Linked DNA regions of Macaca fascicularis. The protein of the gene in region 1 interacts with the protein of each later gene in a biochemical or structural test. Links are inferred from orthologs where the notes say so. Each region holds a gene or a part of one and is shown on either strand. Other genes may lie near its edges. The genes, in order: GNAQ, RIC8A and GRK2.

Region 1 (5,492 bases):
GCTAAGATCAAGTGTCTGTCAGAGCCCCTGCTCTCAGTTCCTTTGGATATATACATTGGAGTAGACTAGCAGGGTCAGTCATGTGGTTATTCTATGTTTAGCTTTTTGAGGAACCACCAAACTGTTTTCACAACAGCTGCACCTTTGTACATTCCCACCAACAGTGCACAGGAGTACAAATCTCTCCACATTTTCCCCAACCCTTGTTATTTCACACTTTTTTATAGCCATTCTAGATGTGGAGGGGTATCTCATTGTGGTTTTGATTTGCATTTTTCTAAATGATTACTGGTGTTGAGCATCTTTTCCTGTGCTTATTGACCATTTGTATATCTTCTTTAGAGAAATGTCTGTTCAAGTCTTTTGCCTATTTTTTAATTGGGTTTTTTGTGTGTGTGTTATTGAATTGTAGGAGCTCTTTGTATATTCTGGATACTAAACTCTTATCAGATGACATGATTTGCAAATATTTTCTCCCATTCTATAGATTGACTTTTCACTTTCTTAATAATGGCGTTGGCCAGGTGTGGTGGCTCATGCTTATAATCCCAGCACTTTGGGAGCCTGAGGTGGGAGGATTGCTTGAGGCCAGAAGTTCAAGAACAGCCTAGACAACATAGTGAGGCCCCATCTTTACAAAAAATTTAAAAATTTGCCACGCTTGGTGGCACCTGTAGTTCCAGCTATTCAGGAGGCTGAGGCAAGAGGATCACTTGAGCCCAGAAGGTTGAGGCTGCAGTGAGCCATGATCATGCCACTACACTGTAGCCTGGGTAGCAGAGCAAGACCCTGTCAAAAAAAAAAAAAAATAGTCCTTGGATACATAAGGTTTTTAATTTTGATGAAGTCCAATTTATTTTTTCTTTTGTGAAAAATATGACCTGGCTGTGGTGTCATATCTAAGAATCCATTGCAAAATTACGTTTTTAGTTTATCTTGCTAGATATATCACAATTCTTTTTCAAAGCATCTAGGACAATTCCTGGCACATAAGAGACTCCTTCCTAAATCAATGTGAGAAAATACAGGCCGAGTGCAGTGGCTGACACCTGTAATCCCAGCACTTTGGGAGGCCAAGGCGGGTGCATCACCTGAGATTAGGAGTTTGAGAACAGCCTGGCCAACATGGCAAAACCTTGTCTCTACTAAAAATACAAAAATTTAGCTAAGCATGATGGCAGGCACCTGTAATCCCAGCTGCTCAGCAGACTGAGGCAAGAGAATCGCTTGAACCTGGGAGGCAGAGGTTGCAGTGAGCCGAGATCTCATCGCTGCACTCTTGCCTGGGCAACATGGTGAGACTGTATCTCAAAAAAAGATAAACCAATTGTTTTATCATCACAAATGAACTGAATGCTACACAAATGTAGTGTGCTCATAAATACCAGAAATCTATGGAAGTGAGACTACCGAGGCCCACTGTAGACAGAGCTGACCTTACAAACAGGTGTTTTATTCTAAGAGGGATTGTCAGTCTGGAAGATGTAAAATGATCCATAATGTTGAGTCGTTTGGAGGACAGATTGACAGGAGAGCCCAAGGAGGCTGTGTCTTTGTGCACACTTATTAAATAGCTGAAACAAGCATAATTAACTCAGTTGAACAGAAGTAAGCTATCACTCCCCTGATGAAGAGCCTACAGTGGCTCCCAGTCACTCAGGGAATCAGAGTGAAGGCCAAGCTAAGAAATAGACTTAACCTTGGCCTTCAAGTCATCTGTCTGCTTTCACCTATACACAGTTTGTGAATGGGTGGGTACGTGGGTGGGTGGGTGGATGGTCAGACATAGTAGTGTTAGGGAAAATGATTATAACAGATCAAATCTGCAGTGCAGATGTAGGCTTCATGAGCAATGACACAGTATTTATTGAACGAATGATAATTGAGTACATTAGCAGATTAGGTAACAGTGTCCCTCTTGTCTCTTGGCCAAAAGGACCCCAGAGAGATGCCCAGGCAGCCCGAGAATTCATTCTGAAGATGTTCGTGGACCTGAACCCAGACAGTGACAAAATTATCTACTCCCACTTCACATGCGCGACAGACACCGAGAACATCCGCTTTGTCTTTGCTGCCGTCAAGGACACCATCCTCCAGTTGAACCTGAAGGAGTACAATCTGGTCTAATTGTGCCTCCTAGACACCCGCCCTGCCCTTCCCTGGTGGGCTATTGAAGATACACAAGAGGGACTGTATTTCTGTGGAAAACAATTTGCATAATACTAATTTATTGCCGTCCTGGACTCTGTGTGAGCGTGTCCACAGAGTTTGTAGTAAATATTATGATTTTATTTAAACTATTCAGAGGAAAAACAGAGGATGCTGAAGTACAGTCCCAGCACATTTCCTCTCTATCTTTTTTTTAGGCAAAACCTTGTGACTCAATGTATTTTAAATTCTCAGTCATGCACTCACAAAGATAAGACTTGTTTCTTTTCTCTCTTTCTCTCTTTTTCTTTTCTATGGAGCAAAACAAAGCTGATTTCCTTTTTTTTTCCCCCCCTAATTTATACTTCCCTCCTGATTTTTTTCCCAAGATACAATGACCTTTATCCTAGTTCCATTCTTGGTCAAGTTTTTCTCTCAAATGATACAGTCAGGACACATCGTTCGATTTAAGCCATCATCAGCTTAATTTAAGTTTGTAGTTTTTGCTGAAGGATTACATGTATTAATACTATGGTTTTAAATGTGTTGCTCTGTATACATACATAGTTTCTTTTTTAATAGAATGTACTGTCTTGTCTCACTTTGGACTGGGACAATGGATGCCCGTCTAACAGTAAGTGTCATTTCTTTTAGATGTTTACCTTCAGCCATAGCTTGATTGCTCAGAGAAATGTGCAGAAGGCAGGATCAAAGACACACAGGAGTCCTTTCTTTTGAAATGCTACGTGCCATTGTCTTTCCTCCCTTCTTTGCTTCTTTTTCTTTTTTTCACCCTCTCTTTCAATTGCAGATGCCAAAAAAGATGCCAACAGACACTACATTACCCTAATGGCTGCTACCCAGAACCTTTTTATAGGTTGTTCTTAATTTTTTTGTTGTTGTTGTTTAAGCTTTTCCTTCCTTTTTTTTCTTAGTGTTTGGGGGCCACAATTTTAAAATGACTTTTATTATGGGAATGTGTTGCCAAAGCTGGCTTTTTTTCAAATAAAATGAATAAGAACTCAAAAAATAAAAGCTGGTATCTTAAAATGTAAGAGAGTAAGACTGTGAAGCCTAAAATGACTGGCTGAGAATGAACCAGAAATGCCAATTGCCAAACAGTTGGTAACTGTAAATTTGATTCTCACGGTCCATTCTTTTATTTGTCCTTAAGATGACATTGTTAGTGTTCACGTCCCATGTTCAGTGTCCAAACCGGCAATGTAAAAAGTATCCTGTGTGGTTTAACAGGAAATCTGTTTATGTCTCTTTATTTGAAACCAGTTTTACTCTCAATGGTTCTTTAAGTTCAATTAAGTCTGCCAGGAACATTGGTTGATAGTATTATTCTGACACCTTTAATTTCCAAAATCTGAAGTTCCTGCTGGTTAACCACCTTCAAGATCTTCTTGAACTGGTAACTGATTAGGTTGAACTTACAGAAGATTTGTGGACTTAACTCAAAAGTAACCTCTCAGTGTTCTATAGAACATGTATTTGTGTAACTGAACCTACTAGGAGAAATGTTTGGAATTCTATATGTGCAATTTTTCAGCAAATGCAAAAAAATACAGCACACGTATTGACGAGCTTCTGTCAAGCAGCTTGAGTTGAAATTTAAGAAAATAAATCACGATTGTTTAAAGCTGCTGGGACGTTAGAATTAGGCCATGAGACTGGTCTCATTTTAACTATAGTGGTATTTGGCACTAGTCTAAACTTCCATATAAATCACTCTTTTGGAACAACAAAGGGGGAGGGAGAAAACTAACGGCCTGTTAGATGAGTACCAAAGCCACCAAACAGTAATGAAATATTCTCATTCTTGATTCTCCCAGCCTCAAACAACACAGGTTACTTTTTTTCCCTTGCTCAGAAAGCACCTGTAATGTAACAAGCAGACTGCCTGTAGGTATAGTGCAATTACAAATGCTCTAATCATTGTACATACATCTCTCTTGATATTGCAGCATCCATACTGGCTTTGTAATCATTAATTTTTTGGCAGATTGAATGTGCTGTATTGATATGTATCTATGTAATTGTATTGTATGTCTATAGCTAATTCACATTTTGAATAATGTTATTTTATTTACTTTTTTAAGAGAGGAGAATGTAAATTTGTCAGTTTATTTCTGACTAGGGATATTTTCTTTCCATTTAGAAAAGAAGAAAAAAAAAAACCTTACTGTCGTACAGAGCGGTACTAGCGTCGTGCTGTATAAAATCATTTGCACATTCCTGAGTAGAGGTATACTGATTATAAGACCCAAAGGTAATTTCATAGCAAAATACATAAAATCAGTCAGAGCTTTTATACAAACATGGAAACCAACTTTGTAGAACTTTTGCCATTTGATCTAGGATTGGAATATGAGCTTTTATACAATTCATATTCTTATTTGGCAAATGCACAGTTTAGTATTACCTCTCTGATGGCCTTTACTAGAAAGGCAGTTTTAGAAGCTATTGTGATCCACTAAGGAAATGTTTTAACAGCTAGAGACCACTGCTTGCCTGAAAGGGCGTTCTTAAATTTGGTGCAGCAAAAAAAAAAAAAAAAAAAGTAAAAACAACAACATTTGAAGGCCTACAGTGTGTATAGAGAAAACCTCATCACAAGATCATAAGTGTTACAGTTTTAGGGAATCAAGATATTCTATTTAATAGAGCTATAGTAGATGTAGTCAATCAAACCTGATCTCAAAGCTTGAAGAAGCTGAGCAAAACAGGGAAAGATTGTTATATTTGTCTTTATGAAATTGGGATGGAATTTGCTATGCAGAATTGAGGTTTGTGGCTTCACTGTTCCTGTAGGGTGCATGACAAGATCCCTTCTCTTGAGAAAGGAAAAAATTGATCACCCTAGCAGCAGTGATGCATAGAAACCTAATTTTAGCCACACTAGTCAATCGAAGCTAAAGGATTTTCTTTTTTGTTTCTTTGGGGTTTTATTGAAGGGGCTAAGGGCGGGACGGGATTCTTTTCAGTTTTGTATAAAACAAAGTTTACTCATGCTTTATATTATATTGTGATTGCAAGCGTTATAAGCGTGTGCCACTGGCCTCCTATTGTTGATGCTTAGGTAATGGAGGCCTGTGGTGAGTTTTATGGTGACTTGGGCATGTCTTATTCAAAAACAAAAACATAAAACACAGAAACCTTTCTTCAGCATACCAAGGCAAGCAGCCATTTCATGACTCACTTAACACATTGCAGTGTACCAGTTTACAGATGATTTTTCCCTTTTTGCGTGACATGGCAGTTCCAACCCCCAGAGAATTCCTTATTTGTAAATTGGAAGTTTCTACTATGCCTTACAGAGCTTAAATTCAGAAGTTTGT
Region 2 (5,769 bases), on another chromosome or scaffold:
ATCCATCGGGGAGCGAGGCCTCTGACCCCTCTCACTCCAACCACAACTGGGTGAGTCAGAAATCTAGGGGCCCTAACCTAGGTTCCAGCAGGTGAATCTTGCACATGTGAGAGAGACTGCATAAAGGACGATGTGTGCAAGGGCCTGTCATGTGAACACGTGTCCTGTGTACACATCCAGGTGGGGATGGGCCAGCACCCACAGTGGGTTCAGTCCAACCAGCACCTTCTGAGACTGTGTAGCAAAAACTGGGCCCAGCTCTGGGATGTTAATAAGATGTGACACTTGCATCCAGGGAGGTCGCCATCTGTGTATGTGGAGCCCATTCTTATAGAAAAAGAGTAAACTCTGCTAAGAGCATAGGAAAGACTTGGGAAAAGTACCCAGCAGGGCAGCAGAAAGGCTCCTGCAGGGACGACCTTTGAGCTGGGTCCTGAAGAGGTGGCAAGGAACCAGGACAGAACATTGGGAAGGCCCTTTACCGCACAGAAAACAGCTGAGCAAAGTTCCCAATTCCGCGAGATGGGAGCTGAGGTCGACCAGGAGCGTGATCCCTGGTCTGCATCCCACACAGGGCTTCCTGCAACACCCAGGGCACAGCGCTTGCAGAGGCCCGGCCTGTGACAGGCTGGGCCAGGTGATAAGGAATTTCTGTCACCTCAGGTGGGTGAGAACCACCTTCTCCCTAGCTTCAACGTTAAGGAAGGGATGCCAGCGTCCTTCCAACCACTTCCTGTTCATTAATTCCTTTACTCATCATAACTCAGACAGGCATCAATATCCCACTTTGCAGAGAAGAACACGGGCTCCAGGAGGGGAAATGGGGCCACCGAGGCCCAAGTTAGTTAGCAGAGGCCTGCCTGGACACCAGCGGAGCACAGCCTACTCCGAAGGCCTGGCCTCGGGACCTGTCGAATGCCGAGACTCCCGCTCACCCTGAACCCATGCAAAACGATCTCACAGGGAGCGGCGGGGAGTGGGGGGACCCCGCAGCTGCGCGAGCCCTCGCTGGAGCTGCTGGGCCGCCCCGCCCGCCGTCCTTCCTAGCGGCAGTGCTGGCCGAAACCCGGCCCTGCTGGGACCCGGAAGGATCCGAATCCGCCCCCCTGACAGGGTCCTCCCCGCCGAGGCCAGAGGCAGGCGCACGCGGCTCTACAGGCAGCGGCGTCGGTTCCGGCCCGGCCCTGCCCCCAACGGCTCCGCTCTCCCGCGCTCACCCCGAGCCCAGTCCGCCATCGTGCCCTGCCCCGGCTCCTCGACGCCAACACCGACGCGGCCACAGCCGCCTCAGACGTGGCGCAGTCACGGGGAACGGGCTTCCGGCCCCGCCCCCCGCCAGCGATGGCCCCGCCTCCGCGCCAACCACGCCCCTAGATGGCGTCGGGCTCGCTGATTTCCGGCTTAGGCCCGAGGGTGGGGAACCGCGGGGTCGCGGAAGCGATGGGCGTCGCTGTGACTTATTTTCAGCACTGTCGCCCAGGCAGTGGCGCGATCTCAGCTCACTGCAGCCCCCGCCTGCCGGGCTCCCAAGGTGCTGGGATTACAGCAGCACCGCGGATGTGACGTTTGTTTGTTGTTCCTGTGAACGTGGGGCGGGGCGGGGCCGTTTGCTTGCTCAGTGCCAAGACGATGGTGGTGGAAAGACGCTGCCATGCGTTAGGTCCTAACGGTTAGGAAGGATTCACAGGCGGGTCATGAGGGAGGAGTAGGCCCCTCGGGCAGAAGCCCGCGAGGAGCCCTGGGTGTGGAGGGGGCAAGGGTGCCTCCTCTGTCAAGTGGAGATCGGCGCCTCGCTAGTGCCTGCGAGTGCGCGCCGCGTCGAATACAGGTGTGCGGAAAGCGCTACAGGAAAGTGAAGCAGGGAAAGAGACTGGGAGGCGGCACGGGGAGTGGGGGCCGTAGACGCCTTTGCTCCCGGGCACTTGTTACAAGAGCCAGTGGACCGCGCTTCCTGTGCGTCACTGAATCCTCCTGATGGCCACTGAAACGGACACGCAGGATCTTTGCTTGTCAAGAGGGAACTGAGTCCAGGCCAGACTGCGTTGCTCCCCTTTCTCTCGGCCCCTCACGGCCCTTCCACCTTTGCAAGTGCTGCTCCTTCTGCCTGGAGTGGCTCCTCCAGTCTTTTCCCGGCTCGCTTCCCATCGTCCAGTGTTAGCAAAAACACCACTGCCTCACAGCCCTTGCAGCCCAGCAGTCACCTTTTGCTTCTTTTGAAGCACAGCCCTGTGACCGCCTCATGTCCTTTTGTTTTTCCTTGTCTGCCTTCCCCTCTGGAACATAAGCTCCACAAAGGCAGGGGCCTGGGAGTCCCGTTCGCTTGCATTCCCCAGCAAACGCCTAACGAACCCAATGGCCCGGGACTGAAAAGTCCTTTCCACTTCGGCTTTCCCGTCTACATCCCATCGGTTCTGTGGAGCTCGAGGGGCGTCACTGTGTGTGTGGCAGGGCGCGGTGGGGGCTGAGATCCTTTCCTGTTGGAAATTCCGGCCCAAGAAGCCCCGGTCACAAGGAGGGGGATCAGTCCGGTTCAGGGCGACTTGGCCCGACTCGGGTCTTCCGAGCCGCCAGTGCTGCCTCAGGCCGCGCCCCCTTGAAGCGCCACCAGACGCCGCGTCCCGTCCCGGCCTCCCCCGCGCGCTGGCGCGGGGCTTTCTGGGCCAGGGCGGGGCCGGCGAACTGCGGCCCGGAAAGGTTGAGGAAGGGCCCGTCCCGCCTTCCCCGCGCCGGGTTCCGGGGGCGCCATGGAGCCCCGGGCGGTTGCAGAAGCCGTGGAGACGGGGAAGGAGGATGTGATTATGGAAGCTCTGCGGTCGTACAACCAGGAGGTGAGCGGCCGCCTGAGGCCGGGGGGCGGGCACGGAGGGGGTGGGGCAGGGTCGTGCGCGGGTGGTCGGGACGGTGTGGGTGAGGCAGGGGTTGTGTCAGCAAGCAGAGGGGACGCGGCGGCGTGGGGGTGGCACGTCAGGGATGCAGTGTTGGGGGGAGAGTGTCTGGGGTGCACCCGTTGGGTGGCAGGTGTGTAGGGATGGGGGCGAGTGTAGACCCTGCCACCCCTTCTGAGCAGTGGCTGCTGCCTGAGTTAGAGGCCAATAGGCCGCCCCCCGTCAGCGGGCGCGGATACTGCCCCTCTGTGGACTTGAATTCACTCGTTCTCTCTGCAGCACTCCCAGAGCTTCACGTTTGATGATGCTCAACAGGAGGACCGGAAGGTGGGTGCTGGCCCGAGGGGTAAAGGGACAGGGACGGGTGGCCCCAGGAAGAGGGGCCTGGTGGAGCCGCTCGTCTCCCTGCCCACAGAGACTGGCGGAGCTGCTGGTCTCCGTCCTGGAACAGGGCTTGCCACCCTCCCACCGGGTCACCTGGCTGCAGAGTGTCCGAATCCTGTCCCGGGACCGCAACTGCTTGGACCCGTTTACCAGCCGCCAGAGCCTGCAGGCACTGGCCTGCTATGCTGACATCTCTGGCTCTGAGGGGTCCGTCCCAGACTCCCCCGACATGGATGTTGTACTGGAGTCCCTCAAGTGCCTGTGCAACCTCGTGCTCAGCAGCCCTGTGGCACAGATGCTGGCAGCAGAGGCCCGCCTAGTGGTGAAGCTCACAGAGCGTGTGGGGCTGTACCGGGAGAGGAGCTTCCCCCACGATGTCCAGTTCTTTGACTTGAGGCTCCTCTTCCTGCTAACGGCACTCCGCACCGATGTGCGCCAGCAGCTGTTTCAGGAGCTGAAAGGAGTGCATCTGCTGACTGACACACTGGAGCTGACGCTGGGGGTGACTCCTGAAGGGAACCCACCCAAGCTCCTTCCTTCCCAAGAGACTGAGCGGGCCATGGAGATCCTCAAAGTGCTCTTCAACATCACCCTCGACTCCATCAAGGGGGAGGTGGACGAGGTGAGCCCTGACCTCAACCCATGGATGGGTCTCAACTCAGCTCCAACATTTCCTGGACCTGCTTCCCACTGGGTACCTTCAGGTTTCTGGGTGTCAGACATGGAGAGAACAGGACCTCCCAGCGTGTTGGGACAAGGCCAAGGAGATGCCAGTTCTGGGCTGGGACCTTAGGGGAGGATTCTGAGGGAAGTAGAGGCCCCTTCTGGCTCTTGCTGCCTGGCAGGGGGCTGTGTGCTCTCCGGGGAGACTGTAAGAGATCCTCCACCATGAGGCTGTGAGTGGGGCTGAGACAAGAGTGTGACTTCATCCCAAGGGTGTGTGTTAACATTCCTAATCAGGGACGTGCTCTTAGAAGAATACTCATGGAGTTTTTAGGAAGACAGCGGTGGTCATCTTTTGCCCCCAGCACTAGCCAGAGTCACCTAGGAGACCCCAGGGGACCAAGTGTGCAGTACAGGAGGTGCACAGTCATTGCCACACAGTTCTGGAGTGCAACAGACAGTAGAGCCTCAGCAGGCAGCAGTGGGATGAGTGGGGCTCCTCACAGGAACCCTTCTTTCTTTGGTCAGGAAGACGCTGCTCTTTACCGACACCTGGGGACCCTTCTCCGGCACTGTGTGATGATTGCTACTGCTGGAGACCGCACAGAGGAGTTCCATGGGTGAGGATGGGGCTTTTTCTGGGAGGGAAGTGTGTCCACATGTTTAGATGGTCATCCTCAGCCCTGGCTGTGAACCAGAACCACCTGAGAGCCCAGGCCCCACCCTAGAGGGTCTGACTTTGTCTGGGTGAGTGAGACTGGACATCGGTGTGTTTCCAGAGAATACTGGGTGCTTCTAATATGTGGCCAGGACAACAGCCATGAATTTGGGGGCAGGAATGTGCCACCTGGGCCTTGGGTAGTGGCAACAGACAGTGTGGTATTTACTAGGGCACATTGGCTCCTTGTCCCCATTCTTGGTCCACCTGCCCCTTGGCTGGTGTGGTTTCCAGAGATGGTCTGGCGCTTTGGCCCAGACAGGGTAGGGGAGGCAGGGTGTCTCAGCCCCCACTTCCCCAGGGGACCCCACTGTACAGCTGAGTGGCAGTGCCTCTCAGATCAGTCCCTGCCCTTGGCTTTGGTCCCCAGTGCCGCCCCTTTGGGCCTCAGACGCCAGCTCATGTAATGTGTGGTTCAGTGGGGGCACAAAGATTGCATCTGTGCTGAGGGATTAGCCCTATTGAGACCCCCACCTCCATCTGTCCTCAGCCACGCAGTGAACCTCCTGGGGAACTTGCCTCTCAAGTGTCTGGATGTTCTCCTCACCCTGGAGCCACACGAAGACTCCGTGGAGTTCATGGGAGTGAATATGGATGTGATTCGTGCCCTCCTCATCTTCCTAGAGAAGCGTTTGCACCAGGTAGGCTGGGGATGGCTGTACAGGCTCCCCCAGTGGCTCTGGCACTGGTTCTCCTGCACAGCTGTGGTCAGTGCTTCTCCACTGGCCACATTGGTAAGTGGAAATCATCTTGGTGGTGTGATACAGGCGATTCTTCCGGCTGTTCTGTGGTCCAGCCTGGCAACAAGCTAGACCCTTCCTTCATGAGAAGCATGTGGACACCTTCCACACACTTGAAGGTTTCACTTCTTAAATCTTTGTGGATCTTTATTGAGTGGTCCTGAGAAGCCCCCAAGTCCCTGCTTTTAACTCTCAGACACAGGCAGCCCTTGACTACAAGCATAGCTGTCCCTCAACATCCTGAGGAGACCCATAGGAACCTCAGATCAAAGCTTCCCTCTGATTCCTGTGACTGCACTACAGGGCATCTGGATAGCTAGGGCTCTAACCATCCTCCAGGAGCTTGCAGAAAGCAGGCTGGAGCACAATAAACCGAGAT
Region 3 (5,769 bases), on another chromosome or scaffold:
GGGGAGGGCAGAGGAACCTCCTGGGAGCGCCCAGGCAGGGCTCCTCAGCTAGGAGCCCAGAGATTAATTACACCAGGCCTCAGTGGTCATATCAAGCAAATGATGAAAATTACAAGACTGCTGGCTGCCGGGAAAGGGAGACGGCAGTTCCTTCAGGGCAAGGTCCAGACCACAGACCCTGAGAGTGAAGGGGCAGCCCCCTAAATTTACCAAGGTGGAAACCGAGGCAGGCCCAGTCAGGCTAAGGGACTGGCCTGGGTCCCATGTGGGCTGGTGGTAGAGGGAGAAGCCAGGTCTCCCATCCTCCAGATACACAATGCTGCCTTACGCTGCCTCCTTCTAGAAGAAGGTCGGGGAAAGGGACTGTTTCCTCGGATTCTATAGGGTGACAGAAGGGGAGGCCCCTGTACCAACTCAATGTGGCACTGTGCCTAACCACTCCCATTCCCTAGCCATTGGAACTCAGAGCTGTGATGCCAGCCCCAGCTCTCGGCCAAGCCACATCCCCAGGCACCAGCCATGGAGGGACTGCCAAGGTGGGCCACCTCAAGGTGTGAACAATTCCCAGAGGCACCCTGTCACGGGGACAAGCCACAGCCCCTCTCCCTGACTCTGACCTTGACCTTGGGGGTATGGGGAAGACAGGCTCCTGCATCTGATGGGACCCTGGAGTGGAGCTGCCCCTCGGGGCAGCAGCTTTGCCAGGGCAGCTCAATTCTCCATCCCAGCCAACAGGAAGGGGGCTGAGCCTTGTGAACTGTGACAGCCAATGGCCCCAGACAAGCGGTGCCAGTCAGCCCACGCCGCAAAATGTGGACAGGGGTGAGAACAGTGGTGTGCAGGGGTGGGTGGAGGGGATAAAGCACAGCAGAGAAACAGCACTGGCCTGTGTGGTCCAGAAACCTGAGGCCCCATTCCAGCTTTCTTCTGTGACGAGAACACGACTCCTCCCCTCCCTGAGCCTCAATGACTTCAACTGCTAAAGGGGAGAATCCCATCTGCTGGGCCTGCCTCCCACAGTTGTCAAAAGGACAAAATGGAGTAAAAAGCACTCTGCAAACGGAAAAGTGTCGGGCAAACATGAGACGTGGTCAGGATCACCATCGGGGCGGCAGGGGGTGCGCTCTGCCCCACTGGGTGTGCAAGGCAAGGCATTATGCAAAGGGTGGCTTGCTCCCTAATGCCCCAGGCCTGGACCCCCATGTAGGGGTGGCCCATAGCCCTTCCCAGGCCTTAGCACACTGACATTCGGCGCTCGCACCTCCAGTCCATTTCACAGATGTGGGCAATTTGCGGAAGGCCATGCTGCTGATGGTGACCCAATGTGAAAACCTGGGCTGCCTGGCTCCGCCTCCTGCTGTCCTCCTAGAATCCTATCCAACCTTGTTTCTGCTCAGGACTGCCTGGGGCGTCACACAGTCCTGGTATTTCTTGGGCAACTACTACATGCAAGGCATGGCCTTGCCAGCTTCACAGGTTGGTTGAAGAATTGAGAGGACAGATGTCAAAACAGGTAAGTCAGTAATAACTCCTATCATTATTGCTATCATCGCCATCACTGCTGTGGATGGGAAAGGGGACAGGAAAAGAAGAACATCTCGTTTCTCCGGGTTCTGACACCTGCAGAGCCAAGGCGGCACCCCATCAGAAGCAATGCATTCTGGGGGGAAAAGTACACGAACGCAGACAGTTCCAGAAAAGGTCCCACCTCACACATTGCCGAACTCCATCCTGCAGGAGGGTCTCAAAGCTGCGGCCACCAAGGAGAGCCGTTTTGAGCCCTAGAGGCTGACTCCCCCATTTCCTCCCTCGTGGGTTTGTCATTTCTGAACTCATTTCTGCACTAACCGTCACTGCTCCCTGGACAGCCCCCAGCTGACAGTCAGTCTGGTTCCTGTTTTGAGAAATCTGATTGCAAATATCTTAGAAAAAAAAGGCCCTAACGGCCTTTTCCGAATGCAGACCAATTTTCCTCTCCCCGGCCTGACGTTCAGTCAATCCAAACACCCAGTGAGCAGGGCATGGCAGAGGGGGCCGGTGAGGGCCATGGGCATGGCACCCCTGCAGCGTCAGCCCAGGCTTAGACAGACACTTCAAAGGCTGAGGGACATCACAGAGTCACAACTCTTATTTCACGCCATCCACATTTCACAGACGAGAAGACTGAGGCCCAGTGAGGGAAGGGACTTGCCCACAGTCACAAGATAAGACCACGGCAGTGTGGACAGGCCCCATTCCCAGCCTGCTGGGGCACCAGGAGGCTAACTCTCAGGCATGCACGAGGAGTTGCCACACGACACAAAGGACCGTGGCGGGCACATCTGCTCCCTGGCGCAAGCCAGGGCAGCCAATGAAATGTAGAACCGGAAGTCTGAAGCCCTGATCTGTTGGCCAGGTGCCACCTGAGACTACCTGTGTGACTTGGGGCAGGCCACTCACCTCTGGAGCTTCAGTTTCTCCACCTGTTCCACAGGGACAAAACCACACCTGTCCTGGCCACCCCATTCGCTGCTGAGAGGCTCACACAGTGGAGAGATACTCCATCAGCCATAAAGAGCTGGACAAACCGCAGCAATCGTCCACATCCTGTGTACTTTTGCACCTACATCCTGAACAGTCTAAACTTTGATACCAGGTGTGATGTCAGTTGTCTTACAGGGGCGGCAGCTAAGGTCCAGCTGTTGCCAGTGTGCTGGGAGGGCCCCTGGTCAACAGCACCCACCGGGCACCATATGCAGTGCACGCCCGAGAAGGAATGTGGGGGAGAGGGCACGGGATGTTTCCCCCACCTGAGCGCGGTCTGAGGGGGAGGGCGTCCGCAGCACCCTAGGTCCTGCTCACCACGCCGCCCCGAAAGCACTCTCAAGCCCAACTACAGGATAGCGACTCCACCAGAGGGTGGGAGAAGAGTCCGGAAAACTGGCTGTCCCCCCACACCTCACACAAGTGTAGATTGGAGGGGAGACGGGTGGGGGTAGTGGGAACCCCAAGGCGGGTGCCGTGAGCAGGGACAGCAAAAGGGTGGGTGACATCGTCAGGCGAGGTAAATGGTGGCCGGCGGAGGGGAAGGGACCCCACAGGGACCAAGGGCTGCTCGGAGGAGGATGAAGGGGCGCGCCGGGCCCCTGTGGGAGAAGGCGGGAGCTAGGGGCTGACAGCGACTGGAGCGGGGGGCCGGCGGAACGCGATAAGGAAGCAGCAGGGCGGCCGGCGGGACCGGAGCGGGCCCGGGGGCCGAAGGGGCAGAGGAGCTCCGGAGTTGGGGCGCTCCGGGCTCAGGCGCCCGGGGTCTGGGGCTTAGCGTCTGGACCCGCAGGCGCCACGGCCGGGCTGCTCCGGGCTCGGGGGCCGACAGAGGGTCGCGAGAGCCGGCCCCGGGGGTCCAAGTCGCGGGGTCGAGTGTGGGGCCAGGGTCTCGGAGTCGCGGCCGGGGTGCCCGCGGGGTCGGGCCGGGGCCGCGGGCGACTTCTCCTCACCTGGGCTCGGGCAGCAGGATCTTCTTGCTGGCGCGCGCGGCCGGCGTGGCCTTGCTCTTCTCCATGGCCATCAGGTAGCTCACGTCGGCCAGCACCGCCTCCAGGTCCGCCATCTTGGCGGCGGCGCTGCCTCCTCCCGCCGCCGCCGCCGCCGCCGCCGCCGCTCCCGCTCGCTCGGCGCTCGGCCCGGTCCGGCCGCGGCTCGGTCGGCCTGGGGCGCCGACGCCTCCCGCCTGGCCCCGCTCGGCGCCCGCGGCTCCGCTCGCCGCCGCTCACAGGCGGCGCCGCCCCATGGCGCCGGCTCGGGCCCGGCCCCGGCTCGCGCTCCGCTCCCGCCGGGACTGCAGTCGGGGCGCCGCCGCCGCCGCCGCCGCCGCCGCCCGCGCGCCCGCGCCCCGGAGCCGCCGCCGCCTCCGGCCCCGCCTGCCGCGCACAGCGCCAGCGAGCCCGCAAGTGGCCGAGCCGGGCGGGCGATGGTGCCCCCTGGAGGCCGCGCGGAGACCTGCGACAGAGGGCTCAGATCCTGGCGGTGACCTGGGGTCTGGACGGAGACCCGGGCCTGGAACAAGACAGGGACCCGGCACGGAAGACGATCCCAGACCCATTCCTTGACCACAACCTCGGGTCACATCTCTGAATCCCAGGCTCTCCAGTCAGGCCGTGGTCCTGCCAACAGACATGATCACAAGGAACCTGGACGCTCACCAAGACACAGATTCAGACCTCTGAACACCATCCCGGGGCTTTCATCTCAGACCCTGGCTATAACCCCAGACTCCCTGACCTTTGACGCAGTCCACGACCTGACACCAGACTCCAAACAGGACCCCAGACTCAAACCTTTGCCCACCACCTCAGACTCTAACCATGACCTCAGATCACAGCCCTGGGTCTCCAACGCCATACCCAGACTGTGACACTCACCCCAGACCCCTAACAGTTCCCCAGATCCAGATTTTGGACCATGACCTCGATCTCATCCTGGTTACTGACCCCAACCTTGACTCTGACCCTAGGCCACTACCATGACCCTGCATCCTAGACTTGGGGTCAGGGCTTAGACCTAGATTGGACTATCAACTCCAGACCACTGTCCTAGGCTCAACACCCAAAACTGTGGACACAGACTCAGGACTAGGACATCTAACCTGGGACCCACATTGGACCCAGAATCCTTAGTAGGTCACCCAGAACCTGGGATCTGACAACTACAGTCCAATTACAGCCTTCCCCCATCCCCGATCCCACCCCTCCTACTCTAGAACCAATCCTGGCCCCTGCAGGCCCACTCTGGATCAAGTACCCTGCACCCAACCCCACCCCCTAACAGGCTCGTAGACCCAGGTCCCTGGCCAGCACTCTTGGCAGCTCCCTTCCGTGTACCCCATCCCATCTAGACGCTCCTTCAGGATGGTTCCACATGTAGGGTGAAACCTCTCCCAGCCTGGGATGGCACAGAGGTTTCAGTGCTGCCTGGTAGGGGAAACCCACCCGAGAGCCCACCCAGAGTGAGGAAAGCCAGGTGTCTCAAGGCAGCAGTCCTATCTCAACATGCCCCTCTCTAGACCCTCTCTTTGCTTTTGAAGTGATAGGACCCTCCTCCCAGCCCTGGGCACATAGAGCTCAAATCTCATTACCATGTTGTGGGCCAGCAACCAGGATCCTTTTGCAAAGCAAGGCTCCCATCTCTGTGCACTTCTAGGCTACCTTCTTGGATCAGTCCCAACAGAACCTGGAACCAGAGCATATCAGAGCTAGTGAGGTTCTCCTCTCAGTGAGTGGTGAGCCCCAGGTTTCTTTTCCCTAACTGCTCCTTCATTTTCTCCCCTTCTCTAATTTGTCACTATAGTCTCCTGTCTGGCCTCCTGAGAATCTCCTTGAATCTGTCTACTTCTCAGGGTCCTATGGCCAGCCACTGCCCTGATGCAGGCCCTGACCAGAGATGCCTTTCCCAGGTCTAGATCTGATGGAGTCACTGCCTGCTTGGCACCAAGAAGCAGCTCTCCAGGCCTTCTGGGGCTACTGAGAGTGAGAGACCTAGAGGGGTCTCTAGGACTCACCCCACTCTGCCCAAAGCAGGTTAGGTGAACAAACTCCTTAATCTGCAAGTCAAGATCTTGGAGGACTTGGACCTTGGATGCTCCCGTTTGTTTTGCTACCATCCTCTGCACCTGGAGCTCCCCCACCAACTCACCCACCCATTCTCACTTCTGTGCCTCTGCTGTTTCCTGGGCCTGGAAGCCCTTCTGTGTACCTTTCTCCCTGGCCAACTCCTACTTATCCGCTAAGACTC

Evidence for each region.
Region 2: the proteins of GNAQ (region 1) and RIC8A form a complex in vitro, tested with the Homo sapiens proteins (2 studies listed by BioGRID). The link is inferred for Macaca fascicularis from reciprocal best matches to the Homo sapiens genes GNAQ and RIC8A.
Region 3: the proteins of GNAQ (region 1) and GRK2 form a complex in vitro, tested with the Homo sapiens proteins (3 studies listed by BioGRID). The link is inferred for Macaca fascicularis from reciprocal best matches to the Homo sapiens genes GNAQ and GRK2.

Annotation. Positions count from the first base shown.
Region 1 is NC_088389.1:108,364,157-108,369,648, reverse strand, and holds part of GNAQ (guanine nucleotide-binding protein G(q) subunit alpha), read left to right. Parts: intron 1-1,936; coding exon 1,937-2,127; 3' UTR 2,128-5,492.
Region 2 is NC_088388.1:87,319-93,087, forward strand, and holds the start of RIC8A (chaperone Ric-8A), read left to right. Parts: upstream 1-2,662; 5' UTR 2,663-2,744; coding exon 2,745-2,828; intron 2,829-3,164; coding exon 3,165-3,212; intron 3,213-3,300; coding exon 3,301-3,891; intron 3,892-4,460; coding exon 4,461-4,552; intron 4,553-5,140; coding exon 5,141-5,291; intron 5,292-5,769. Other genes in the region: BET1L (BET1-like protein), read right to left, coding at 1,218-1,236.
Region 3 is NC_088388.1:7,107,387-7,113,155, forward strand, and holds the start of GRK2 (beta-adrenergic receptor kinase 1), read right to left. Parts: upstream 3,820-5,769; 5' UTR 3,590-3,819; coding exon 3,477-3,589; intron 1-3,476. UniProt on the Homo sapiens protein: Specifically phosphorylates the agonist-occupied form of the beta-adrenergic and closely related receptors, probably inducing a desensitization of them. Key regulator of LPAR1 signaling.